7 linked regions of the Macaca mulatta genome follow. The main gene of each other region encodes a partner of the protein of the gene in region 6 in a complex. Links are inferred from orthologs where the notes say so. Each region holds a gene or a part of one and is shown on either strand. Other genes may lie near its edges.

What was found.
Region 1: POLR3F (region 6) and POLR3G share a complex: the UniProt entries of both Homo sapiens proteins name them as parts of the RNA polymerase III complex. The link is inferred for Macaca mulatta from reciprocal best matches to the Homo sapiens genes POLR3F and POLR3G.
Region 2: POLR3F (region 6) and POLR3D share a complex: the UniProt entries of both Homo sapiens proteins name them as parts of the RNA polymerase III complex. The link is inferred for Macaca mulatta from reciprocal best matches to the Homo sapiens genes POLR3F and POLR3D.
Region 3: POLR3F (region 6) and POLR3E share a complex: the UniProt entries of both Homo sapiens proteins name them as parts of the RNA polymerase III complex. The link is inferred for Macaca mulatta from reciprocal best matches to the Homo sapiens genes POLR3F and POLR3E.
Region 4: POLR3F (region 6) and POLR3C share a complex: the UniProt entries of both Homo sapiens proteins name them as parts of the RNA polymerase III complex. The link is inferred for Macaca mulatta from reciprocal best matches to the Homo sapiens genes POLR3F and POLR3C.
Region 5: POLR3F (region 6) and CRCP share a complex: the UniProt entries of both Homo sapiens proteins name them as parts of the RNA polymerase III complex. The link is inferred for Macaca mulatta from reciprocal best matches to the Homo sapiens genes POLR3F and CRCP.
Region 7: POLR3F (region 6) and POLR3K share a complex: the UniProt entries of both Homo sapiens proteins name them as parts of the RNA polymerase III complex. The link is inferred for Macaca mulatta from reciprocal best matches to the Homo sapiens genes POLR3F and POLR3K.

Annotation. Positions count from the first base shown.
Region 1 is NC_133411.1:96,874,252-96,877,751, reverse strand, and holds part of POLR3G (DNA-directed RNA polymerase III subunit RPC7), read right to left. Parts: intron 994-3,500; exon of another isoform or gene 984-993; 5' UTR 951-983; coding exon 834-950; intron 1-833. UniProt on the Homo sapiens protein: DNA-dependent RNA polymerase catalyzes the transcription of DNA into RNA using the four ribonucleoside triphosphates as substrates.
Region 2 is NC_133413.1:23,888,829-23,893,006, reverse strand, and holds the start of POLR3D (DNA-directed RNA polymerase III subunit RPC4), read right to left. Parts: upstream 2,801-4,178; 5' UTR 2,668-2,800; intron 2,442-2,667; 5' UTR 2,437-2,441; coding exon 2,272-2,436; intron 673-2,271; coding exon 629-672; intron 44-628; coding exon 1-43. UniProt on the Homo sapiens protein: DNA-dependent RNA polymerase catalyzes the transcription of DNA into RNA using the four ribonucleoside triphosphates as substrates.
Region 3 is NC_133425.1:21,775,034-21,778,533, forward strand, and holds part of POLR3E (DNA-directed RNA polymerase III subunit RPC5), read left to right. Parts: coding exon 1-57; intron 58-445; coding exon 446-528; intron 529-2,543; exon of another isoform or gene 2,544-2,934; intron 2,935-3,500. UniProt on the Homo sapiens protein: DNA-dependent RNA polymerase catalyzes the transcription of DNA into RNA using the four ribonucleoside triphosphates as substrates.
Region 4 is NC_133406.1:119,468,309-119,471,808, reverse strand, and holds part of POLR3C (DNA-directed RNA polymerase III subunit RPC3), read left to right. Parts: coding exon 1-104; intron 105-2,217; coding exon 2,218-2,306; intron 2,307-3,500. UniProt on the Homo sapiens protein: DNA-dependent RNA polymerase catalyzes the transcription of DNA into RNA using the four ribonucleoside triphosphates as substrates.
Region 5 is NC_133408.1:58,913,386-58,917,632, reverse strand, and holds the start of CRCP (DNA-directed RNA polymerase III subunit RPC9), read left to right. Parts: upstream 1-1,447; 5' UTR 1,448-1,477; coding exon 1,478-1,699; intron 1,700-4,247. UniProt on the Homo sapiens protein: DNA-dependent RNA polymerase catalyzes the transcription of DNA into RNA using the four ribonucleoside triphosphates as substrates.
Region 6 is NC_133415.1:65,528,537-65,532,036, forward strand, and holds part of POLR3F (DNA-directed RNA polymerase III subunit RPC6), read right to left. Parts: intron 723-3,500; coding exon 655-722; intron 171-654; coding exon 103-170; intron 1-102. UniProt on the Homo sapiens protein: DNA-dependent RNA polymerase catalyzes the transcription of DNA into RNA using the four ribonucleoside triphosphates as substrates.
Region 7 is NC_133425.1:1,237,419-1,240,397, reverse strand, and holds the end of POLR3K (DNA-directed RNA polymerase III subunit RPC10), read left to right. Parts: intron 1-1,976; coding exon 1,977-2,104; 3' UTR 2,105-2,479; downstream 2,480-2,979. UniProt on the Homo sapiens protein: Core component of RNA polymerase III (Pol III) which synthesizes small non-coding RNAs using the four ribonucleoside triphosphates as substrates. Can mediate Pol I proofreading of the nascent RNA transcript.

The sequences.
Region 1 (3,500 bases), on a different chromosome or scaffold from region 6:
AGTGGTAGAAAGAGTCAGAGAGACATCAGAACGGAGAGATCAGGAAGAGCCTTTTACCCAGTAGTAAGGAATTTTAATTTCATTCCAAGCATAAAGAAATACTATGTACTAACATCCCCAGTGTTTAGAAGTAATCTCACACATGGAAAAGAGCTTGTTTTAAAAATCACTGTAAAGTGACATTATGCCAATACCTGAGATATTTGTCTTTGTTTTTATGCTGCGCTGAATATCAAAAAGGTAAAATATCAACAGCAAAAAGCGGAGACCCCTTGTGTGTGAGATATCTAGATCCCTGGATACATTCTAAACTAAACATAAAGTGAAAACATTACATATTATGCAAATTTAGCTTGCAGCATACTCACTAAATTTTAAAACAACACTAAAATAAGCAAAAAAAGTTCAGTGGGGGACAAAGTCAAGTGGCATACTAAGGAGCAAACTTAAGTTCTATAGATACAAGACGAGAAGAAAAGTGAAGGTGCGGTAGGGTGGGAACTTAGAACCATTATAAAACCTAATGACTTTTAAAACTACTATTTTCATACTGGAATTTATCAGTAACACCAACAGGAGTTGTAAGAATTGAAAACTAATTCTTTACTGGTTCACATAGTACTAAATATATTAATAGAAAGATGTATACAGTTTTGTTTTCTTTATTTTAAGAAAGCAGATCATGAAAATATTTAAAGGTAAGTGAAACACACTCTCCTTTACTTTCTTATACTTGAGGATACTATAATCATATATCAAGTCCTATATAGAATTTAATATTCTCTAAAAAATGAAAAAACACACTATGAGAATTCAACAGTTCATATACTTACAGGAAATAGTGGGGGTGGTTTCAACACTACATCAGGTAACTTTTCGCCTTTGCTAAATCCAACAGCCTCAATATTAAAGGTATAAGCAGCACGTCCTCTTCCTTTATTCCCAGCCATCAGAAATAGTTATACCAGATGAGTAGCCAAATTCTGAAAGGCACTATTAATGATTAAGATTTACTGGATCACACATAAAAAAGAAATCAACACTTTAAAGCAAAATATAAAACTGCATCCCTTAAGTAGCATAGTTGATTTAAAATACTTTTGGAAAGCAAAACATGGAGAAATAAACATTTGACAAGTAACTGTTGAATTTCTCACACACACACATCTTTGGCAGGTAAGATAATGATGGCTTCAACTCCCTCACCCACTACTACTGTCCCACATCCAGACTGATGAGGAGAAGAAATCTTTCTTTTTCATATCAACATAAAAACATAAAAAAAAAAAAATCTTTCTTTTTCACATCATCATTAGTCATATATACTTTAAGACTTTAAATGATTTATCTTAGCATGTGAGTGTTAGGAAGAATCCCTGAGATCTAGTCTAATGTCTCCCTTTTAGAAATGGGAATGGTCGTTTGATGAGACTCGAAAGAAGCCTGTCCAAGAAAAAAAAATTCAGAGGAAAACAGCTGAAATCATTAAAGTTACGATAAACCTGTACTCTTCAATTTTGGGGACAGGAGTGACATCATACATGCAAGTTGTAATGAACTTTTGAATCCTCTGATTATACTATGAGAACTGAGCTGGCAATGTAAAAACAGGGTTCCCTACGCTAGAGTTCTTCCAATAGAAGTCTGCATTCAACTGTAGTGATGATTATAATGCACACTCTTTACATCTCTTTTCCCGCTGATAATACTGAGCCTCATTTAAGCCTGTGAACCCAAGACAGAAACTATATGTCCTCCAGTCCACCTGGAGGAAGTCAGAGGAGTGGCTTTGGTTTTGGCTCCATCAGCTCAGTCTCATTTCTGAATCCACTCACTCTCACTTGCCCTCCTTACAAAATTATGCAAGTCACAGTACTTCACACAGCTGCTCTACTCTTCACCAGGGTTTCTTGCCTCGTCATTAATGTCACCCCTCTTAGTCTGCCACATTAATGGTGAAGGAACACCACCTAAAACCAACAAGGTGCTACTTCTTTATATCAATTTTACTGTCTACAATTTGAATATACGCAGTTCTTTGGACCAAAAGGCTGAAAACTCCCAGCTCACTTTATCACAGGGCCAACACTACAAAGCAAGCGCCTCTCAGTTCTCAACCCTGGCTGCCATTAGAATCACTTGGGTAGCTTAAAAACCTAGAGCAATGGTTCTCAAAGAGTGCTGTCTGCAGCAGCATCACTCAGAACTTGGTAGAAATGCAAACTGTGAGTTCCACCACAGACCTAAAGAAAAAAGAAACTGTGGGTGAGCCCAGTACTGGTGTTTTAAGAAGCCTTCCAGATAATTCTTATGTATGCTAAGTTCTGAGAATCACTGAACTGAACCAATCAATCCAGATCTCTTGGGGTGAGGATTGAGCAAGAGTCAGTTTTAGAAGCTTCCCAGGTGATTCTAACAGCAAATGTTAAGAGTATTGAGAGAACCGTTCTGGTGGAAGTCTTAGCAACTAAGTAGTAGTTGAGTTAAAATACACATGTAGAATCAAGGACTTCATAGGTCTCATCTTTGAGGTTTAAAATTATACAAACTAGCCTTAGCAACTTAAAAATATTTGCCTTAAAGGTGAGATAACTGTAACTGCTGTAAATCTACGTAACACTCAGGATGTGGCAGTCCAAGTTTTAATTCATTTACAAGGAATAGCAGTAACAAGGCACTGCACTTTTAGACAGCCAATTTAATTTTTAAAATTATTTATTTATTTATTTTTTTCAGATGAAGTCTTGCTCCGTCACCCAGGTGGCACAATTGTGGCTCACTGTAACCTCCCTCCCTTGCTTAAGTGATTCTCCTGTCTCAGCCTCCTAAGTAGCTGGGATTATAGGACTTATTTTTGAATTTTTTTAGGAGAGACGGGGTTTCACCATGTTGGCCAGCTTGGTCTCAAACTCCTGACCTCAAGTGATCCGCCTGCCTCAGCCTTCCAAAGTGCTAGGATTATAGGCATGAGCCACGGCGCCCAGCCAATGACACACTGCCAATGATGGCCAATTTTAATGTCCTTCTACATTTAAGGCCCCAGAAGCAAATCATATATTCAACATCTTTTTGTAATGAAACATTGTTTCCTGTTTTCTGTGAATTACCCAAGTAGAATATATGGCATTTGATTTGACATAATGGCTATGATACTGAGAACATTTTCAGATATGATTTTGTAACTGCCCAAGGGGTTCACCATGCCTGTTGTCTGGACAGAGCTGATTTATCAAGACAGGGGAATTGCAATATAGAAAGAGTAATTCACACAGAGCTGGCTGTGCAGGAGACCAGAGTTTTATTACTCCTTAAATCAGTCTCCCCGAAAACTTGGAGATTTTTTTGAGATGGAGTGTCACTCTTGTTGCCCAGGGTGGAGTGTAATGGTGCGGTCTCAGCTCACTGCAACCTCCACCTCCCAGGTTCAAGCAATTCTCCTGCCTCAGCCTCCCGAGTAGTTGAGATTACAGGCATGCACCACCATGCCTATCTAATTTTAT
Region 2 (4,178 bases), on a different chromosome or scaffold from region 6:
CCTTTCACGCTTCTCCTTCTTGACAGTTACTTCTTCCTTGGGCCTGGAAAAAAGAATGGATTAAGGGAAACCACTCACTCACTGTGTCTCCAAAAACTGGCCTTACTCTCCCATACCACTTCACTCCAAGACAGCGGAGAGTTTGAGCCAATAATTACACCATGAGAAGCAGAATCCAATCCTAATTCTAGCACTTTTCTCACTTCCTTGATGAGGCAGGATTTTTTCAGTTTGCTTTACTTTACGTTCTTGTCCAAAAATGTAGATTTTTGTTTGCATTGGGACTGAAAGCAGGAAGGCAGAAATGCAAAGGAACTTCAGGGAAAGCGTGATACATCTTTGTTTAAACTATTGGCTCTCAACTCGGGCCATCAAAGAGAATCACTCCATTCTACTGCCAACAAGTTAAATCACAATTTCTAGAGATGGAACCCTAGACACCAGTATTTTTTTTTTTTAAAGCTTAAACATTAGAATCACCTAGGAGCCAGGGTTGAAAATCACTAGTGAAAAGAACTAAAGATATAAATTTAAATTTTGGAGCCACAAACCTACTTATTTCTCCCCAAAGCCCCAAATTCAGAGCAAGTAAATAAGGGGCAAGTATTCAGAAGGACTAGCTACTTACTCTTCCTTGATCTTCCGACTGATGATATTTGGGGTGAAGGTTTTCTGAAAGCAAAATACAGGAGTCACTGATGTGTTAGGTCCTGACCCCAAAGTACAGAGGAAAATAAAAACTCCCAACGGGCATCTTCTACAGACCACGGCCACCATGACTCTCTTTGGCACATTCCACAGTGCTGTCAGTTTTCTAGATACACGTGTGCCTGAAAAGGAGGAACGTCATGGTGTGGCGGCAGTGGAGTTATGCATAGAAGAAAGGGGCACCAAAAACCATTTTTAACCAGCAGCCTTAGGAAAGAAGATCCTGAAAGAAGGTCCTCTGGGACTTCTAAAAGCAAAGGAATTTCTCTGGTCTCACCTCTTATCTTCAAACTGCTATAGAGACCAGTCAGTATCATGGGGGAACATCTCTAGCAGCAAGGCCTAAGTAGGGAAGGCCACAGATCTGCCAATACTCTCAATCACTGTTGGCAGTGTTTTTCCATATTTTCCAAGGCAAAGTTAGGTTTCTAAAGACTGCTTTATGTCCAGGCGTGGTGGCTCACGCCTGTAATCGCAGCACTTTGGGAGGCCAAGGCAGGTGGATCATGAGGTCAGGAGTTCAAGATCAGCCTGGCCAAGATGGTGAAACCCCGTCTCTACTAAAAACTACAAAAATTAGCCAGGTGCGGTGGCAGGCCTCTGTAATCCCAGCTACTCGGGAGGCTGAGGGAGGAGAATCGCTTGAACCCCAGGAGGTGGAGGTTGCAGTGAGCTGAGATGGTGCCTCTGTGCTACAGCCTGGGCGACAGAAAGAGACTCTGTTAAAAACAAAACAAACAAACAAAAAAAACTGCTTTATTTGGCCGGGAGCGGTGGCTCACGCCTGTAATCCCAGCACTTTGGGAGGCCGAGGTGGGTGGATCACAAGGTCAGGGGTTCAAGAACAGCCTGGCCAACATGGTGAAACCTTGTGTCTACTAAAAATACAAAAATCAGCTGGACATGGTGGCGGGCACCTGTAATCCCAGCTACTCAGGAGGCTGAGGCAGGAGAATCACTCAAACCCGGGAGGCAGAGGTTGCAGTGAGCCAAGATCATGCCATTACACTCCAGTTTGGGGGACTAGGGCGAGACTTCGTCTCAAAAAAAAAACCCAAAAACCTGCTTTATTCTTCTGTCATCCTGACCCCACCCCTTTCTGGGCTACTCTTGACATCCACAGTCATATACACATGGGACAGCCCACAGAGCCTCGAATGCCATGCCTAGGATTCATGATACTCTAGATAACAAGTTTGCACACTGAGATGGTGAATTCTGAACGCTCTAAGACTGTGAAGTTTATGCCTGCCTGGCTTTCATGGGTTTCTTAAAGATGTCCAAACACACAATAAGAGTAAATAAACACTGTTCAAATTACTTTTGAACGACTTTAACTTATTAGGATTCTCTGTCTTTCAACCACCTCTGGGACTCATTTCAACATTTTGTACTCAGTACCTAGATTTGAAGATAGGACAGGCTCCCTAGAATTTAAAGAGGGGTAGGCTTGAGGCCCAACGACACTCCTGACACATAGTAGGCCCTACACAAACATCAGTTGAATGCCGGGGCTTGGAATTCAAGGTAGTTGAGTTTCTTTAGAAACGCGCCGTTGGATACCTTCTTGACTCCCCCGAGGGTGAGGTCCCTGGAACGGATGGAGGGAAGGCGGCCGGGGGTGAGGGGAGGCGCCGGCCGCCGCCCGATGAGCCCCCGGGCCCCAGTCAGAAGGGGTCGGGGCCCTCCCGGAGTGCTGGGCTCGCCGGCGGCGTTTCCTTCCGACATGTTGCCTGGGAGAGAAGGGGGGACGAGATTACCAGAGTGGACTGACACGCGGACCCTGGCGGAACCCAACCCCCTTGCTTTCCGGTCCCCCAGTCGGTGCGTCCCTCCAGTGGCCTCTCAGCTCCTCCCCTCCCACGTGGCGAGATTCCCGGGACCACCCAGGTGAGAGCCTTTGGCTCGCGACACGCCCTCTCTCCAGGAACCCCGCCCAGGAACCAGGCAGGGACGCACCCGGGCCGCGGCTCCACACCGCGCGTCACCACTTCACCTGCGACGCGACCCGCTGCCAGCTTTAGGTCTCCGCACCGGGCGGAAGTCTGCGTGGCACCGCCTGGGCGCTGCCATCTTGGCACGGGCCGGATGTGACGTTTCGGGGGCGGGACTGGGCCACAGTATTTATCAGGCGGCGCTTCGCTCCCCTCCGCCTTCTCTTCCCGGTTCTTCCCGGAGTCGGGAAAAGCTGGGTTGAGAGGGCGAAAAAGGATGAGGGAACCGGTCTGGGCTACGCTATGTGGCGGTGCTCGGGGGTCTTGGCCCCCGGGCGGTGGCGTGGAGGTGCCGAGATCAGGGTCGCGGGTCTTGTCGGCCGCCAAGCCGCAATGTGAGGCTTCGCCTCGGCGGAGCCCCTGGGAGCTTGGGGGTAGCTGCTCGGGATGGGACGAGGGGCGCGGCACAGAGAGCGAGACCTGGACTTAGAGTCGGGGAGTCTTGGGCCGTGCGGAGCCCTGTCTGCGGGTTCTCCATGGTGACCTTGGAGTGGTCACTACCTCCGGGCAGCGACCTCGCCCACTCTCGGGGACCCCTTCCCTGTGCTCCTGGTGGAGTCCTGGGGTGAGGCTGTGAGGGCAGCGTTGGAACAGCCGCAGTGGACCAACTGGTGCCCAGTCACACCCGCTTGGGATCACGAAGGCGGTGGCCCTCGGGTGCGCTCTTGGTCAAAGCCTGGACAGAATCGGAATACCAAGTTTGCTCTACTGCTGGAGGAATTTAAAGAACTTTTATTGACTCCAGCGTTTGTGATATAAAAAGTGTCGTTTAATGTTATCTCCCATCCCCCCAGACTGTATAAAAACATTATTACGGGGAGTTTGAGGAAAGGAAATCGTTTCTACCAGAATGCCACGTAGAGTACTACTATTAAAAATTTTGTAATGTGTCTAGTAGTCTTCACAGAGTTGTATCACAATTTCGTATCCTTTTTCTTTTCTTTTTTTGAGGCGAGGTTTCTGCATACTGCAACCTCTGCCTCCCAGCCTCAAGCCATGCTCCCACCTCAGCCTCCCAAGTAGCTGGGACTCTAAATACATGCCACCACGCCCGGCTAATTTTTTTTTTCTTTTTTCTTTTTCTTTTTCTTTTTTTTCTTTTTTTTTTTTTTTTTTTTGTATTTTTGGTAGAGACGGGATTTCACTGTGTTGCTCACACTGGTCTTGAACTCCTGAGCTCGAGTGATGCCACCCGCCTCGGCCTCCCAATGTGCTGGGGTTACAGGCGTCAGCCACTGCGCCTGGCCTGTATCCTGCTTTTTCAAATAACATTTCTCTGTTACGGCATCAAAGACTGCATAGTTCTCCAGTGGCTGTATCATGATTTAAGTATTTCCCTGATTGTTTCTTTTTTCCCTGTTTTAAATAATGCTGTAGTGAATATCTGGTACATTCGACGTGCTTTTTTTCAATTTTGTTTTGGTTTTTGTTTTCTTTCGGATTATATTCCTGGGATAGATTTCCCGTCCTGGGATA
Region 3 (3,500 bases), on a different chromosome or scaffold from region 6:
GCAGATCGCGCTGAACGTGGACGGGGCCTGCGCCGACGAGACCAGCACGTATTCCTCGTGAGTTCCCGGCCCCAAGCCTGTCCGGTTTCCCTGTGTTCACACAGGAGCCTCCCAAAGACCTTAAAGACACTGACCCCCTTTGCCCCGTCACTGGGCTCCCCACCAGCGTCCCAGCCTTTGGAGGGCTGGTCCTGTCTCAGACCCGACTCTCCCTGAGCTAACTGGTCCCAGAGCTCCCGCCCACTCCTCGTCTCTTGGTCTACAAACAAGGCCATGGATTTTCTCATCCCCAGGCTCCGCTCCTGAGACCCGCGTAGGCTACCCTGCGGCCTTGGTCCCTGACTGTGGCACTTCAGAAGGTGTCTGGGGGGTGGAGTGCGCTGTGGCCACAGGCCCTGGCTCAGAGCTGCCTTCCCCTGTGATGTTGCTTCTCCCTGTGCTCCAGGAAGCTGATGGACAAACAGACCTTCTGCTCTTCCCAGACCACCAGTAACACATCCCGTTATGCCGCTGCACTCTACAGGCAAGGTACCCAGGGCTGGGCGTCCCATGGTGGGGACGTGGCGTTGTGGGGGCTGGGCAGGGAGAGAACCTCCCCAGCCTGGTGTCCATCTCCCACCTGCCCTGAAAGCTAGACACCTGCAGGAGCCGGGCAGGTGTGGAAACAACAGAAATGACACATTGTCAGGGGATTGGAAGTGGCCACCTTTGGGGCCTGCTGGTTGGACACTGCCTGACTAGATGGGGTGGGGCTCCAAGTTCATTTGTCCTCCCGGGACACAGATACATACAAGTAGCATAATATAAGTTTGGGGACAGAATTTTGTCTTTAAATACAAAGCTTATGACAGAGCAATTCCATTCCTAGGCAGCATCTATCCAAAAGAAATGAAAACATGTGTCCACACAAAACCACACACAGGTGTTCACAGTAGCATCTTCATGATAGCCAAAATGTGAAACAACCCAGATGCCCATCCGCTGGATTCATGGAGAAACAGAATGTGGTCCATTCACACAATGGATGTTATTTGACCACGGAAAAGAATGAAGCACCGATGCTACCACGCAGATGAACCTTGAGAACATGGTGCTAAGTGAAAGAAGCCACGGGCTTCCTCACTCGCAGCTACGCGCTGTGTGCTTATGTCTCAGTCAGCGACCAAGCACATACTCAACGGTGGTCCCAAAAGGTTATAATGGAGCTGAAGAAGTGGCTCACCTAGTGATATCTTAACGAGCCTGACCTTGTGTAGGCCTAGGCTAACTCGTATGTTTGTGTCTTAGTTTTTTGTTTGTTTCTTTTGCTTTGAGACAGTGTCTCGCTCTGTCGCCCAGGCTGGAGTGCAGTGGCACAATCTCAGCTCACTGCAACCTCCGCCTCCTGGGTTCAAGTGATTCTCCTGCCTCAGCCTCCCAAATAGCTGGGATTACAGGCACGCACCACCACACCTGGCTAATTTTTGTATTTTTAGTAGAGACGGGATTCTGCCACGTTGGCAAGGCTGATCTCAAACTCCTGACCTCAGGTGATCCACCCACTTCGGCCTCCCAAAGTGCTGGGATTACAGGTGTGAGCCACCACGCCCAGCCTGTGTCTTAGTTTTTAGTAGAAAGTGTAAAAAGTTTAAAAAAACCCAAAAAAACAAAAACAAGGTAAAAGCATATAGCTGGGCGTGGTGCCTCTTTCCTGTAATCCCAGCGCTTTGGGAGGCTGAGGCAGGCAGACTGCTTGAGCCCAGGAGTTCCCGACCAGCCTGGGCAACATAGTAAAATCCCTTCTCTACAAAAAATACAAGCATTAGCTGGGCATGGTGGCACACCCCTTAGTCCTAGCTACTGAGGAAGCTGAGGTGGGAGGATTGCTTGACCCTGGGAGGCGGAGGTTGCAGTAAGCTGAGATTCCACCACTGCACTCCAGCCTGGGCAATAGAGCAAGACTCTGTCTTGAAAAAAGCATATATAATAAAGATATATTGGCCGGGCGCGGTGGCTCACGCCTGTAATCCCAGCACTTTGGGAGGCCGAGACGGGCGGATCACGAGGTCAGGAGATCGAGACCATCCTGGCTGACACGGTGATACCCCGTCTCTACTAAAAAATACAAAAAACTAGCCGGGCGAGGTGGCGGGCGCCTGTAGTCCCAGCTACTCGGGAGGCTGAGGCAGGAGAATGGCGTGAACCCAGGAGGCGGAGCTTGCAGTGAGCTGAGATCCGGCCACTGCACTCCAGCCTGGGCAGCAGAGCGGGGCTCTGTCTCAAAAAAAAAAAAAAAGATATATTTTTCATAAATTTATTTATGTATTTTTTTTTAGAGGGAGTCTCACTCTGTTGCCCAGGTTGGAATGCAGTGGCTCAATCTTGGCTCACTGAAACCTCTGCCTGCCGGTTTCAAGCAATTCTCCTGTGTCAGACTCCCGAGTAGCTGGAACTACAGGTGCAGGCCACCACTCCCAGCTAATTTTGTATTTTTAGTAGAGACAGGGTTTTTGCCATGTTGGCCAGGCTGGTCTCGAACTCCTGACCTCACGTGATCCACCCACCTCGGCCTCCCAAAGTGCTGGGATTATAGGCATGAGCCACTGTGCCCAGCCTATTTTTTTTATAAGTTTAGTGTAGCCTAAGTGTGCAGTCTTTATGAAGTCTACAGTAGCGTGTAGTAATGTCATAGGCATTCACATTCACTCGCCACTCACTCTCACCCAGAGCAGCCTCAGTCCTATAAGCTGTTTTTAGTCTTTTATACTATACTTTTACTGTACCTTTTTTATGTTTAGGGATTTTTGGGTCTTTTTCTTTGTGTGGTTTTTGTTTGTTTGTTTGTTTGTTTGAATTTTTTAATTTTTCTGGAGACCGGGTCTCACTCTGTCACCCAGGCTGGAGTACAGTGGTGATCATAGCTCACTGCAGCCTCTATCTCCTGGGCTCAAGCAATCGCCTTCCCTCAGTCTCCTGAGTAGCTAGGACAACAGGCCGTGCCACCACATCTGGCTAATTTTTTTAAAAGAATTTTGTTGAGATGGGGTCTGGCTATATTGCCCAGGCTGGTCTCAAACTCCTGGGCTCAAGTGATCCTCCAGCCTCTACCTCCCAAAGTGCTGGGATTACAGATATGAGCCACTGCACCCAGCCTAGATATATTTAGATCACAAATACCATTCTGTTACAACTGCCTACAGTATTCAGGGGAGTAGCATGCTGTACAGTGTGTAACCTGGGAGCAACAGGCCATACCATAGAGCCAAGGCATGTAGTCTCTGCTGTCTGGGTTTGTATAAGTGCACTCTGCGATGTTTGCACAATGATGAAATCATCTAACAATGAATTTTTTAGAACATATCCCCATTGTTAAGTGATGTTTGGCTGTACGTGAAATGTCCAAAACAGGCAAATCCACAGAGGCAGAAAGTAGATTAGTGGCTACCAGGGACTAGTGGGAGAGTGGAGTGGGGATTGCCCGGTTCTTTTTGTGGTGATGAGAATGTTCTAAAATTGATTGT
Region 4 (3,500 bases), on a different chromosome or scaffold from region 6:
AGTACCTACCACTGAGAATTCAGACCCTGGGCCACCACCACCTGCCCCCACACTTGTCATTAATGAAAAGGACATGTACCTGGTTCCTAAGCTGAGCTTGATAGGTAAGGAATTTTAACCCCTGGAACTGTGACTTGCCTTAATTGTGGATTCTTCTTGATTGATTATCAAATGTATGAATCAGGTGAACATTTACCTTGGTAAATCAGACTGATTTACCAATCAGTCTGAACATTTGCTATGTGTCAAACATCGTGGTGGATAACAATGAAAAAATCATGGTCTCTGTCATGGGGCTTTAGGAGACATACATTAATCAGAAAATCACATCGATATATCATTAAACGGTGATAAGTACTATGAAGGAAATATTCCTATGAAGGAACTGTCATAGTATTATGACACATACATTAATCAGAAAATCACATCGATATATAATTAAACCGTGATAAGTACCATGAAGGTAAAGTATGAGGTGTTATGAAAATATATAATGGAGGCCGGGCGCGGTGGCTCAAGCCTGTAATCCCAGCACTTTGGGAGGCCGAGACGGGTGGATCACGAGGTCAGGAGATCCAGACCATCCTGGGTAACACGGTGAAACCCCGTCTCTACTAAAAAATACAAAAATCTAGCTGGGCGAGGTGGCAGGCGCCTGTAGTCCCAGCTACTTGGGAGGCTGAGGCAGGAGAATGGCATAAACCCGGGAGGCGGAGCTTGCAGTGAGCTGAGATGCGGCCACTGCACTGCAGCCTGGGCAACAGAGTGAGACTCCATCTAAAAAAAAAGAAAAAGAAAATATATAATGGAGACTTTGGGAGACTGAGGCAGGCAAATTGCATAAGGCCAGGAGTTCCAGACCAGCCTGGGCAACATGGTGAAACCCCATCTCTACTAAAATTACAAAAATTAGCCAGGTATGGTGGTGTACACCTGTAATCCCAGCTACTCGGGAGGCTGGGGCAGGAGAATTGCTTGAACCCAGGAGACAGAGGTTGCAGTGAGCCAAGACTGCGCCACTGCACGCCAGCCTGGGCGACAGAGTGAGACTGTCTCAGAAAAAAAGAAGAAAATATATAATGAGGGACGGGATTCATCTGGGAGTTTAGGCCTCATGTTTCTTTGAGAAGGTGACATTTGAGCTAAGATTTAAAGTGGAAGCTAACAGTGAGGTAACAGGAAAAGCATTTTTGGCAAAGGGAATAGTATGTAGTAAAAAAAAAAAAAAAAAAAAAAAAAAAAAAACAGCATTTGTAGACCAGGCACGGTGGCTCATGCCTGTAATCCGAGCACTTTGGGAGGCCAGGGCGGGCGGGTCACAAGGTCAGGAGATCAAGACCATCCTGGCTAACACGTTGAAACCCTGTCTCTAAAAAAAAAATACAAAAATTAGCCGGGCATGGTGGCGGGTGCTGTAGTCCCAGCTACTCTGGAGGCTGAGGCAGGAGAATGGCATGAACCCGGGAGGCAGAGCTTGCAGTGAGCCAAGATCTGAGATCATGCCATTGCACTCCAGCTCTGTCACACTCCAGCCTGGGTAACAGAGCAAGACTCCATCTCAAAAAAAAAAAAGCATTTGAGGAAATGAGAGAGTGTCAGTATAGCTAAAGCATTGTAAGCAAAGCAAAGAGGCATGAGATAAGGTTAGAGACATAGATAGGCAGGGGTCTGATATCAGAAGCTAATCAGGATCGACCTGCTTAGTACTTGGATGGGAAACAGGCAGGGACTAAATCAAGTAAGACCTTATAGAGCATTTGTTCTTTATGCTAAGAGCAAAGGAAAACCACTAAAGGATTTTTTAGGAAATGACATGATCTAATTTATACTTTTAAAAGATTTTTTGTCTACAGAAAGGATGGGAGAATGGGGCAAAGTAAAAGTTGACAGACTGGTGGAAAATGAAACAGAGGGTGAAGGAGACAAGTATTAAGAATGACATTTCTGTGTCTGACTTGCACATGTGGAAGAATGGTGATATCATTGGCCATGAAAGAGAGTATTGGAGGAGAAAGACTATAAGCTTCTTTTTGAACATGTTGAGTTTCAGATCATTTCATCCTTTACTTGAATTTCTTATAGCTCTTCAGCCCCCTAAGCAACTCTGATCTAGAGGCACCTATAGATGTCTTTGGAATGAAAGACACCTGCTCTCATGTTTGGTCATTTGCTGTCATACAGTCATACAGTCTAAGTGTTCAATTATTTGTTTGGCAGGAAAAGGTAAAAGGCGCAGATCATCTGATGAAGATGCTGCTGGGGAACCCAAGGCCAAGAGACCAAAACATACTACAGATAACAAGGAGGTAATGGGGCTTCTTGATTAGAAGTCCTCACCCTGAAGCAGGCCAGAAAGAGCACTCAGATAACAAGCCCCAAGAGAGCTTAAAGCTTCCTGAGCTAAGAAGCAGTAGGATTATGAACCTCATTAAATATTAGAAATAGAATGAACCATTCTATTCATTCACAAAGAATGAACCATTACTGTCTCCCTTCTGAGCCTTAATTCTTTCATTGAACAGAGATAACAGGCTATGTAAAAAGGGGCCTAGAAAAAGTTTAGATTGCTCAATATGGCAAGAACCTAAAAACAGTGGTGAAAAATGGGTCTAAAAACTATACATAGGCCTGAACTTATATTCAGTGCCTTCTTAGCATGCCTATAAAGATGTCAGTAAGCATCTCAAACTTAGTGTGGCCAAAACAGAATAATTGATTCCTCCTCTTAGTAAAAGACACTACCACCTAGGCCAGCCACCTAGGACACCACCATTTCTGCTTAGGCCAAAATCCTTGGAACCCTCTAATCTCACAGTAAAACATACCAGCCCAGTTTCCAAAATTACCTCAAATCCAACCATTTCTCATCTTTTAACTGCCGTCTCTCATCAACTCTTTCCTAACCCTTTCGTTAATGGTCTCCCTAGCTGCATTCTTACCTACTTAGTAGCCAAAATGACTTTCTAAGTTCAAAACAAAACAATACATCCACTGATTAGACTCCTTTAATAGCTTTCCTTTACTCTTAGAAGAAATCCAAGATACGGGCTAGGAAGCCTTACATGATCTAGGTCTTCGTATGATCTGTTGGAGACAGGCTTTTCAACCTCACCTCTGACCCATCTCCGTCTTGCTCACTGTGTTCCCCCTACTGACTTTCTATCTCTTAAACATGTCAAACTCTTTCTAGTCTTTAGACTTTGGCCCTTATCATGCCTCTGGCTTCAAATGTTTGTCCCCAGATCTTCATGTAGTGGTCTCTGTTTTTATCATTTCTGTCTTAAATGCTCTTTTCATAGACTTCAAGCACCATTGTCCTCTCCTACACTGGTCCCTACCACATTTCTCATTTCATATACTTCACAGCATTTATATTTATAACTGGAATTATTTATTATTTGTGTACATGTTTGTCTAAGAGGTGTGGACTTTATCCTGAAGACAAGGGAGAGCCATTGATGGATTTTAAGCAGAGAAATGAAGTAACTGGATTTATATGT
Region 5 (4,247 bases), on a different chromosome or scaffold from region 6:
GTAATCCCAGCTACTCAGGAGGCTGAGGCAGGGAATTGCTTGAACCCGGGAGGCAGAGGTTGCAATGAGCCAAGATGGCGACACTGCACTCCAGCCTGGGCAACAGAGTGAGACTCATCTCAAAAAAAAAAAAAATAAAAAGAAAATTAGGCCGGGCGCGGTGGCTCAAGCCTGTAATCCCAGCACTTTGGGAGGCCAAGACGGGTGGATCACGAGGTCAGGAGATGGAGACCATCCTGGCTAACACGGTGAAACCCCGTCTCTACTAAAAAATACAAAGAACTAGCCGGGCGAGGTGGCAGGCGCCTGTAGTCCCAGCTACTCGGGAGGCTGAGGCAGGAGAATGGCGTAAACCTGGGAGGTGGAGCTTGCAGTGAGCTGAGATCCGGCCACTGCACTCCAGCCTGGGTGACAGAGCGAGAGTCCGTCTCAAAAAGAAAAAAAAAAAAATTAACCAGGTGTAGTGGAGCGCACCTGTGGCCCCAGCTATTCTGGCAGGCTGAGATGGGAGGATTGCTTGAGCCCAGGAGTTCAAGGCTGCAGTGAGCTCTGACTGCACCAGTGCATTCCAGCCTGGGCAACAGAGGAAGACCCTGTCTCTTAAAAAAAAGAATAAACTACAATGTTTCTGGCAGCCCAGATGCCACCAGCCTCACTACTCTCTGAGGGGTGGGATTTTAACATGCAAAGGCCCACTAACCCGATCACATCTTGCAACTTGAGCTGATTAATACTTTGTTAAAACCTGGACCACGAAAACAGAGATAGGCCGGCGAGGTGGCTCACGCCTGTAATCCCAACACTTTGGGAGGCCGAGGCGGGTGGATCACGAGGTCAGGAGTTCAAGACTAGTCTGGCCAAGATGGTGAAACCCCGTCTCTACTAAAAAATATAAAAATTAGCTAGGTATTATGGCGGGCGCCAGTAATCCCAGCAACTCGGGAGGCTGAGGCAGGGAATTGCTTGAACACCGGAGGTAGAGGTTACAGTGAGCCGAGATCGCGCCACTGCACTCCAGCCTGAGCGACAGAGCGAGACTCTGTCTCAAAAAAGAAACGACAGAGCGAGACTCTGTTTCAAAAAAGAAAAAAAGAGGCTGGGCGCGGTGGCTCACAACTGTAATCCCAGCACTTTGGGAGGCCAAGGCGGGCGGATCACGAGGTCAGGAAATCGAGACCATCCTGGCTAACACGGTGAAACACTGTCTCTACTAAAAATACAAAAAATTAGCCGGGCTTGGTGGCAAGCGCCTATAGTCCCAGCTACTTGGGAGGCTGAGGCAGGAGGAGAATCGCTTGAACCCAGGAGGCGAAGGTTCCAATGAGTCGAGATCGCGCCACTGCACTCCAGCCTGGGCGACAGAGCGAGACTCCGTCTCAAAAAAAAAAAAAGAAAAAAGAAAAAAAGAAAAGAAAAGAAAACACGAGATAATCCTGTCCGCAAACGCATAGCAGTCTTACGTAGGCCTGGTGAAAGGATGCAGGAACACTCCCCCACCCGCGCCCCGGAGAAAGGCGAACGCGCAGCGCGAGGTTCCGGGTCCGCCAGGCTCCCGGCATGCAGCGCTGCAATCCCGGCGAGCACCTTGGCGCGCGGAGCTGGCACCTTGGCGCGGTCGGCGGCGGCGGGGACAGCTGTGACGTGTGAGGTTCTTGGTCTGCTGGCAGCTAGGGGCGACGAGGCGGGACGTCATGGAAGTGTAAGTCTCCCCGGGCGCGTCCCTTTTCGGCCGAGGAGCCCATCGGTTTGACCGCTGAGAGCCGAGATCCTTGGGAACTTGGCGACCCTCGTACGGAAGTGAGGGCAGCGGGCCGGCCCTGTCCGGGAGGGCCGCGGGGTGGGGACGGGGACGAACGGGACTCTCGCTTTGCCCCTCCGAACCTTCGCTTCCCCTCCACACCCTGTGTCTGGGGTGCGCGGCCGAACACCTCCGGGTCTGGTTGCCTTTCAGTGTGCGCCCTCCTTCTCTCATTCATTTACCAGCGTTTTTGGGTCACAGTGCGGGGGTGGAGCCCAGCCTGGTATCCGAGCCAGGACTTAGAAGGCTATAAAGGCCTGAGTCTGTTCGCCCTGAAAGTACCTGGAGAAAAGATGAATCAGGGCCGGGTAGAGCTCTGCTTGCAGCACTGGGCCCCTGGGGAGCTCTCACTCGGAAGAGCTGCTCTCAGAGTTTGATGGGAGCAGTCAACGCTGTGAGGGAAGGGGCTAGTTTTTGTGGGGAGAAGGGAAGGATGTGAGCCAGGACTGGGACCGGAGAAACAGCACGGGGTGTGTGGGTGTGTACAGGCGAGGGTAAAAGATTTTCTGACAATTTAACTCCACGTGGTCTTTTCCATGCTTGCTCGTTGCACGTCGTGCAAATGGAAGTTTTTGCATCTACTCCGAATGTGGGCTTTATATGGTTGATATTAACTTGTAGGTATTTACCTATCTTGTGTTCTCTGTGCACTGATTATTTGATTCAGTTTCCTTTATGTTCTTTTGCCTCGTGTTTAATGGTTATATGTACGATGGCATTTCAGATTTTTACATTCTTAATTGTTTTTTCTTAAGAAACAGGGTCTTGCTGTGTCCCCCAGGCGGGAGTGCAATGGTGTAATCATGGTTCACTGCAGCCTCACCTTCCGGACTCAAGCAATCCTGCTTCAGCCCCTCCAGTAGCTGGGACTACAGGCCCACACCATCACTCATGGCTAATTTTTTAAAAAAGTTTTGTAGATACAGGATCTCACTACAGCCCAGGCTGGTCTCCAGCTCCTAAGCTCAAGTGATCCTCCTGCCTTGTACTCCCAAAATGCTGGGATTGCAGGCGTGAGCCACCTCACCTGGTCCCTTCCCATTTTTTTTTTTTTTTAACTTAACACAATATGTCTGTGTAACTGAAATGAAAGGATCATGAAACAATAATGTATGGAGTACACTCTCATATTGTCTATTTTTTAAGATGAAGGGGGCCAAGCATGGTGGCTCATGTCAGTAATCCCAGCACTTTGGGAAGCTTAGGCAGGAGGATCACTTGAGCCTGGGAGGTGGAGACCAGCCTGGGCAACATAGGGAGACCCTGTCTCTACAAAAAATTAAAAAGCTAGTTGGGTGTGGTAGTGCATGCCTGTAGTCTCAGCTACTTACAAGGCAGAGATGGGAGGACCGCTTGAGACCAGGAGGCTGCAGTGAGCTCAGATGGAGCCACTGCACTCCTGACAGAGTGACAGAGCAAGGCTCTGTCTAAAACAATACAAAACAGAACAAAAAAGGTTGACCCACTGAATTAATTTTGCAACCCACGGATCGGATTTCATCTGCAACCTGAAAAACTATTCATATAATTTACTCTAGTCCAAGCCATCATTACTAATTTTTCCCTCTTTACTGGAGCATTTCCTGTGAGCATACAACCCTGCTTTAATGTATTCATCTTAGAAAATCCCCTGTCCCCACATACATGTCCACCTCTTACTCCATTTCTGCTTCCCATCCCAACAAAACTTCTTGAAAGTGCTGATTAGCCCCTCTTTCTCTCAACCATTCTGTTGGGCTTTCTTCCTCACTGGTCTACAGAAATGAATGTTAAGATTACCTGATCCAGGGGGCGCGGTGGCTCACACCTGTAATCCCAGCACTTTAAGAGGCCAAGATGGGCGAATCGCCTGAGGTCAGGAGTTTGAGACCAACCTGGCCAACATGGCAAAACCTTGTCTCTACTAAAAATTAAAAAATTAGCCAGGTGTGGTTTTGGGTGCCTGTAATCCCAGCTACTCAGGAGGCTGAGACAGGAGAATCACTTGAATTCAGGAGGCAGAGGTTACAGTGAACCAGATTGTGCCACTGCGCTCCAGCCTGGGCGACAGAGCAAGACTACATCTCCAAAACAACAACAACAACAACAAAAAAAAAAACCCCTGATCCCTCCATCCCTCCGTCTTTTCAAATCCAGAGGTTGATTTTCTGGCCTCAACTTTTTTGATCTCTCAGCAGTGGTTAATACAGAAACTCTAGAAACTTTCCTTTCTTCATGTTACATGTTCCTTTGTGATATTTCCTCCTACATCAAGGATTACTTCACAGTGTCCTTCCCTGGGTCCCATTCCTCCCTTGCTGGATGTCTAAGTGTTGAGGTATCTTAGGTCTCAGTCCTGGGACCCTTTCTCTCCACGCTCTGTCATTTAACCCATCTGTGTGCTGATGGTTCCCAAAGGTGTGTTTCTAGCCTCTTCTCATCATCTATCCAATTGCATAGACCAAAAATC
Region 6 (3,500 bases):
ATACTCTGTTCACCGAGCTCTACCCTGGGAAGCTGAGATCTGGGTCCCTATATTAAGCTCCAAAGACAATGTTTTTTTCTGCTTCATCCTTCACATGCTTACCTTTATTTCCTGCATCCTCTATGATTTGATATACTAGTTTTTCTTGGTTATCTGACCCCTTCATTTTACTGCAGGGGAATAAAGTAAAATTAATAAGGTAAAGACTACAGGATAATCTAATAATCTACATCACTACTTAAAATTAACAGACAAGGTCACCACAGTGACATATTTACCAAAAGAAAGGCTTACCTTAAAAAGAATGAGACAGAGCTGTGTGTACCAACATGAAAAGATGTCCAAGATATAGTAAGTGAAAAAAACAAGTTGCAAAACAGAATGGATAGCATGATTCCATTTTTGTTAAAAAAAAAAAAAAAGAAAGATTATATATAAATATATAATCATCTATGTGTATTTATATATAGCTAGAAGAAAGGATATATACTAAATTATTAAGAGCAGCTACCTCTGGGAAATGTAATATATCATAGGAGGTGGGGATGATACACAGGACAGGTTTATGTAATTTTGTATTAGCTTTATTCCCAACACATACATTACTTTTGCAATAATAAAAATTTTCTTAAAATTAAAAAAACTAGTACTTACCCAGCATTCTGAGAGTCCTTTATTCTATATAAAAGGCCTGTATTGCTCCTTAAGAGATCCAACTGACCCTAGTTTTTAAGACAGTAGAAAACAGGAGTCAATTATTTTGGAGATATGTCAAATGACAAATGTTGATACATTATTTAACATTCTTAATTTTTCAAAACCTGCTCTTTAATCTCAAAATTTTTCAAAATATCAATACTAACAATTTCCTGTATGCTAGATCTTGGCTTGGTTATATGACCAATGCATAAAGAATTTTTTTTTTTTTTTTTTTTTGAGGCGGAGTCTTCACTCTGTCGCCCAGGCTGGAGTGCAGTGGCACCATCTCGGCTCACTGCAAGCTCCGCCTCCCGGGTTCGCGCCATTCTCCTGCCTCAGCCTCCCGAGTAGCTGGGACTACAGGCGCCCGCCACCGCGCCCGGCTAATTTTTTGTATTTTAGTAGAGACGGGGTTTCACCGTGTTAGCCAGGATGGTCTCGATCTCCTGACCTCGTGATCCGCCCGCCTCGGCCTCCCAAAGTGCAGGGATTACAGGCGTGAGCCACCGCGCCCGGCCTGCATAAAGAATTTTTAAAAAGCAGCTTGAGAATAAAAATCTATATTCAAAATCAAATAAATCCAAATTACATATATAAAATAAATACAGTAAAAATATAATTTATATAAATAAAAAGTTTAAATAAAGACTAAATAGGCATATTCTGTTGCACAGTGAAAAATAAAATTTATAAAGTTAATGGCTGGGCATGGTGGCTTACACCTGTAATCCCAGCACTTTGGGAGACCGAGGCGGGTGGATCATTTGAGGTCAGGAGTTCGAGATCAGCCTGGCTAACATGGCGAAACCCTGTCTCTACTAAAAATACAAAAATTACCCCGGTGCAGTGGCAAGTGCCTGTAATCCCAGCTACTTGGGAGGCTGAGCTGAGATCGCACCACTACACTCCAGCCTGGGTGACAGAGCAAGACTCCATCTTGGAAAAAAAAAAAACAAACAAAAAAAACAAAAAAAGTTAATAGTGACATTTACTGATGTCAGCCAATGAATAAAAGGACTAGAGTAGTATTGTTTTTTCACAGCAATTCAGAAGTAAAATAAAGTATGTCTGTCATGCTCCTGAATTTCCTTGGGTCCGAACTTAAGAGAACCCAGATAGTTATAGCACTAGGCTCTGGCAGTACTGGAAAGCCATAGTTGAGAGAAAGGCCATTCCCTTGTTTTATTTATTTATTTATTTAGAGACAGAGTCTCACTCTGTCATCCAGGCTGGTGTGCCGTGGCACGATCTTGGCTCACTGCAACCTCTGCCTCCTGGGTTCATGCGATTCTCGTGCCTCAGCCACCCAAGTAGGTAGGATTACAGGTGTATGCCACCATGCCAGGCTGATTTTTGTCTTTTAGTAGAGACAGGGTTATGCCATGTTGGCCAGGCTGGTCTCGAACTCCTGGCCTCAAGTGATCGGCCTGCCTCAGCCTCCCAAAGTGCTGGGATTACTGGCATGAGCCACTGTGCCCGGCCCATTCCCTTGTTTTAAAACAGACATGACTTGGAAATGGATTTACATACTGAATGAACGGTGACCTACTCCCTCTGTTCCCTGACCCCATGAAGTGGCAAAGTAGGACTACAAGGCCCAATCCAGAGGCTCTATTTGGTCATTTATCCAGCTTATGAATATTTACTGAATACTTGTACTGTGCCAGGTGTTATGATAGGTGTTTGGGGGAACAACATGAATTCTAAAAGAGAAACACACAGCTGACTTCAGTACCCATCTGGTTGGCATTAAGATAGAGGTAAGTAAAGCCACCCTGAACTCTCAGGTTGGGTACTCGGAGAACAGGCTGTGGCCCAACCTGGGGGTAGGGGGCAGTTCAGTGACTTCCTAGAGACAATGGCAGAGCCGAGTCTTAAAGAATAAAGAGTTAGTCATCTGTAAAGAGTAAGAAGAACCTTCTAAGCAGGGGGAACAACATGAGTCCCGAGGCGTGAAACAGCATGATGTGGCAGGAAACCAAAAACAGTCTGTTCCTCCTGAAACCTAACTTTTGAGGTACAGTGGTGGAGATGAGGCTGGTGAGCAATGCAGGGACTCAGTGTGGTAAACCCAGGAGTTTGAACTTGAATCTCCAGTATAAACAAATTGTAGGCGGTAGAGTGCCTTGGTCAGACCTGCATTTAAGACGGATCGGGGGCAAGGGGCAGTGGCTCACGACTGTTATCCCAAATCAGGCTGGCTTCTCTGAGACCGATGGAGTCATGGAAGCCAGTTAAGATGCTACTGCAGCTGTCGAGGTAAAAGCCATGAGCCTGAACATAGTTCGGTACCAGGGACAGAAATGGAGGGGGTGTGAAGAGCAAATTTAAGAACTGTTTTTAAGAGCTAAAATCAGAAACACTACATGATTTATTAATTATCACTTCATTTCTTAATATCCTTTGGTAGCTCTACTACTGCCTACATACAACCTATAGCCAATAGGACTCGCAGTGGGTGGGTGGTGGCAGAGGTGGTAAAACAGAGGTGCTGAAGATGATTTTCAGTCAGAAGGAAAGAGCTGAAAGGGCGATCAGAGGAAAAAAGGAATTTTTCCACTGCTACAACCTCCCAGAATCCCTTCCTCTATGCTTCCTAGAGCTGAAGACCTTCGCCACAGTGAAATAACTAGAAATCAGCAACATTCCTTTGTCCTTGGGCTAGAACAGGGGTCAGCAATCTGCTCCACAGCTTGTTTTTATAACTAAAGTTTTGCTGGAACATGGCTGTAGCCATTTGTTTATGTATCATCATCCATGGCTGCTGCTTGCTAAAATGACAGAGTAGTTGTGAAAGAAAT
Region 7 (2,979 bases), on a different chromosome or scaffold from region 6:
GTCAGGAGATCGAGACCATCCTGGCTAACACGGTGAAACCCCATCTCTACTAAAAAATACAAAAAACTAGCCGGGCGAGGTGGCGGGCGCCTGTAGTCCCAGCTACTCGGGAGGCTGAGGCAGGAGAATGGCGGGAACCCGGAAGGCGGAGCTGCAGTGAGCTGAGATCCGGCCACTGCACTCCAGCTTGGGCGACAGAGCAAGACTCCGTCTCAAAAAAAAAAAAAAAAAATTATTATTATTATTTGTAGAGACTAGATCTTGCCATGTTGCCCAGGCTGGTCTTGAACTCCTTGGGTCAAGCAATCCTCCTGCCTCAGCCCCCAAATTAATGGAATTACAGGTGTGAGCCACTATGCCCAGTCTACTTTTTATTCTTTTTTTTTGGGCTGGGACTGAGTTTCAGTCTTGTTGCCCAGGCTGGAGTGCAGTGGCGCGATCTCGGCTCACCGTGACCTCCACATCCCAGGTTCAAACGATTCTCCTGCCTCAGCCTCCCAAGTAGCTGGGATTACAGGCATGTGGCACCACGCCTGGCTAATTTTGTATTTTTAGTAGAGACGGGGTTTCTCCATGTTGGTCAGTCTGGTCACGAACTCCCAGCCTCAGGTGATCTGCTGGCCTCGGCTTACCAAAGTGCTGGGATTACAGGCGTGAGCCACCGTGCCTGGCCTTTTTTTTTTTTTTTTGAGACAGAGTCTCTTTCACCCAGGCTGGCGTGTAGTGACGCAATCTCTGCTGCCTGGGTTCAAGCGATTCTCCTGCTCATCCTCCCTAGTAGCTGGGATTACAGGCACCTGCTACTGCGTCTGGCTAATTTTTGTAGTTTTGATAGAGACGGGGTTTCACCATCTTGGCTAGGCTGGTCTTGAACTCCTGACCTCAGCCTCCCAAAGTTCTGGGATTACAGGCATGAGCCACCATACCCAGCCTTTTCTCTTCTTTTGAGTCCACACCAGAATCGCCCTTAATGCTCAATTCTTAACAATGCAGACTTTTCGCAGCATTTACTTCAAAACTCTTCTACTGTCTAACCGTGACTTAGTCTTAGGCATTTTGTTACAGCAGCACAAAATACACCAGAGCAGTCACCTTCCATGTTATGTTTCCAACCAGCCTTCAGCTGGACTTGAGAAGAACCGTGGGAATCAGGGAGGGGAGGAGCGGCGTTTGTGAGTCACAGGTCTCTCAGATTCCCTTAGTGTTAGAGTGTAGTAGGAATGACATCGCTGTTTGTAGACCTACCCTTGTCAAGGGGCATCAAATGAGCAGGGAGGTTCTTTACCATATTTAAAGATATTAAGTAGGCTGGGCACGGTGGCTCACGCCTGTAATCCCAGCACCTTGGGAGGCTGAGGTGGGCAGATCAAAAGTTCAGGAGTTCCAGACCAGCCTGGCCAACATAATGAAAACCCGTCTCTACTAAAAATACAAAAAAATTAGCCGAGTGCGGTGACGGGCACCTTTAATCCCATCTACTTGGGAGGCTGAGGCAAGGAGAATTGCATGAACCCGAAAGGCAGAGGTTGCAGTGAGCCGAGATCACCCCATTGCCCTCCAGCCTGGGTGACAGTGTGAGATTTCATCTCAAAAAAAAAAAAAAAAAAAAAAAGACATTAAATAATACCTACTTTTTTTTTTTTTTTTTTTTTTGATACGGAGTCTCACTTAGTCGCCAGGCTGGAGTACAGTGGCACAATCTCAGCTCGCTGCAATCTCTGCCTTCCAGGTTCAAGCGATTCTCCTGTCTCAGCGTCCCAGGCAGCTGGGATTAAAGGCGCCTGCCACCGTGCCCGGCTAATTTTATATTTTTGGTAGAGACGGGGTTTCACCATGTTGGCCAGGATGGTCTTGAACTCCTGACCTCAGATGATCCGCCCGCTTTCGCCTCGCACATATTAAGTAATACCTACTTTTAACAGTCATGAGCATCATGTTTCTTTTAATGTGGGTCACTTCTTTTTTCTCATTGCCAGAGCCGTGTCCCAAATGCGAACATCCTCGTGCTTACTTCATGCAGCTTCAGACCCGCTCTGCAGATGAGCCGATGACCACCTTCTACAAGTGCTGCAATGCTCAGTGTGGACACCGCTGGAGGGATTAGGGCCAGGATGGCCCAGCTGCCTTAGCGTGTGCTTACCTTGTCCCTTGGCGTAGATGCTTAGCTGGCAGTATGAATCGTGTGTCCTGAGGGTTTTTGCTGGTGTGGTGGAAAGATAAACCTTTTGAGGTGAAGAGCTGGGGGGTCAGGAAATGTGATCTATCTGCCAGTCAGAGTGGATGAAGTCATGAATGTCTGGGAGTTTTTCTGTGTGGGGAGGAGACAGAGACCCATAAGTAAATATGCTCTGTTTAAAGTCCTGTTCTTTCATCTTCCATATTTATTGGCAGTTGACATTCCCTTACTCCCAATCAACACTCTTAAACATTTGTACTGTTTGCAAAACTTAACCCTAAACATTTAACTGTTACTTGTAAACTTGTGTAATTTATTATTTATTTTAATCACAATTCTGAGTATTTCATTCAATTGAAAGTTCTAATATTGCGTTCTCAGTGTTTTTTTTTTTTTTTTTTTTTTTTTTGAGACGGAGTCTTGCTCTGTCACCCAGGCTGGAGTGCAGTGGCTGGATCTCAGCTCACTGCAAGATCCGCCTCCCAGGTTTACGCCATTCTCCTGCCTCAGCCTCCCGAGTAGCTGGGACTACAGGCGCCCGCCACCTCGCCCGGCTATTTTTTTGTATTTTTTTTTAGTAGAGACGGGGTTTCACCGTGTTAGCCGGGATCGTCTCTCGATCTCCTGACCTCGTGATCCGCCCGTCTCGGCCTCCCAAAGTGCTGGGATTACAGGCTTGAGCCACCGCGCCCGGCCCTCAGTGTTTTAAATAGCTTAAGTGGTAGAAAGCAAACCCCAAATCACAGTGATCCCAGAATTGACTACATACTTAGATTTGAACAGGCTATGAAAATACTAATCAC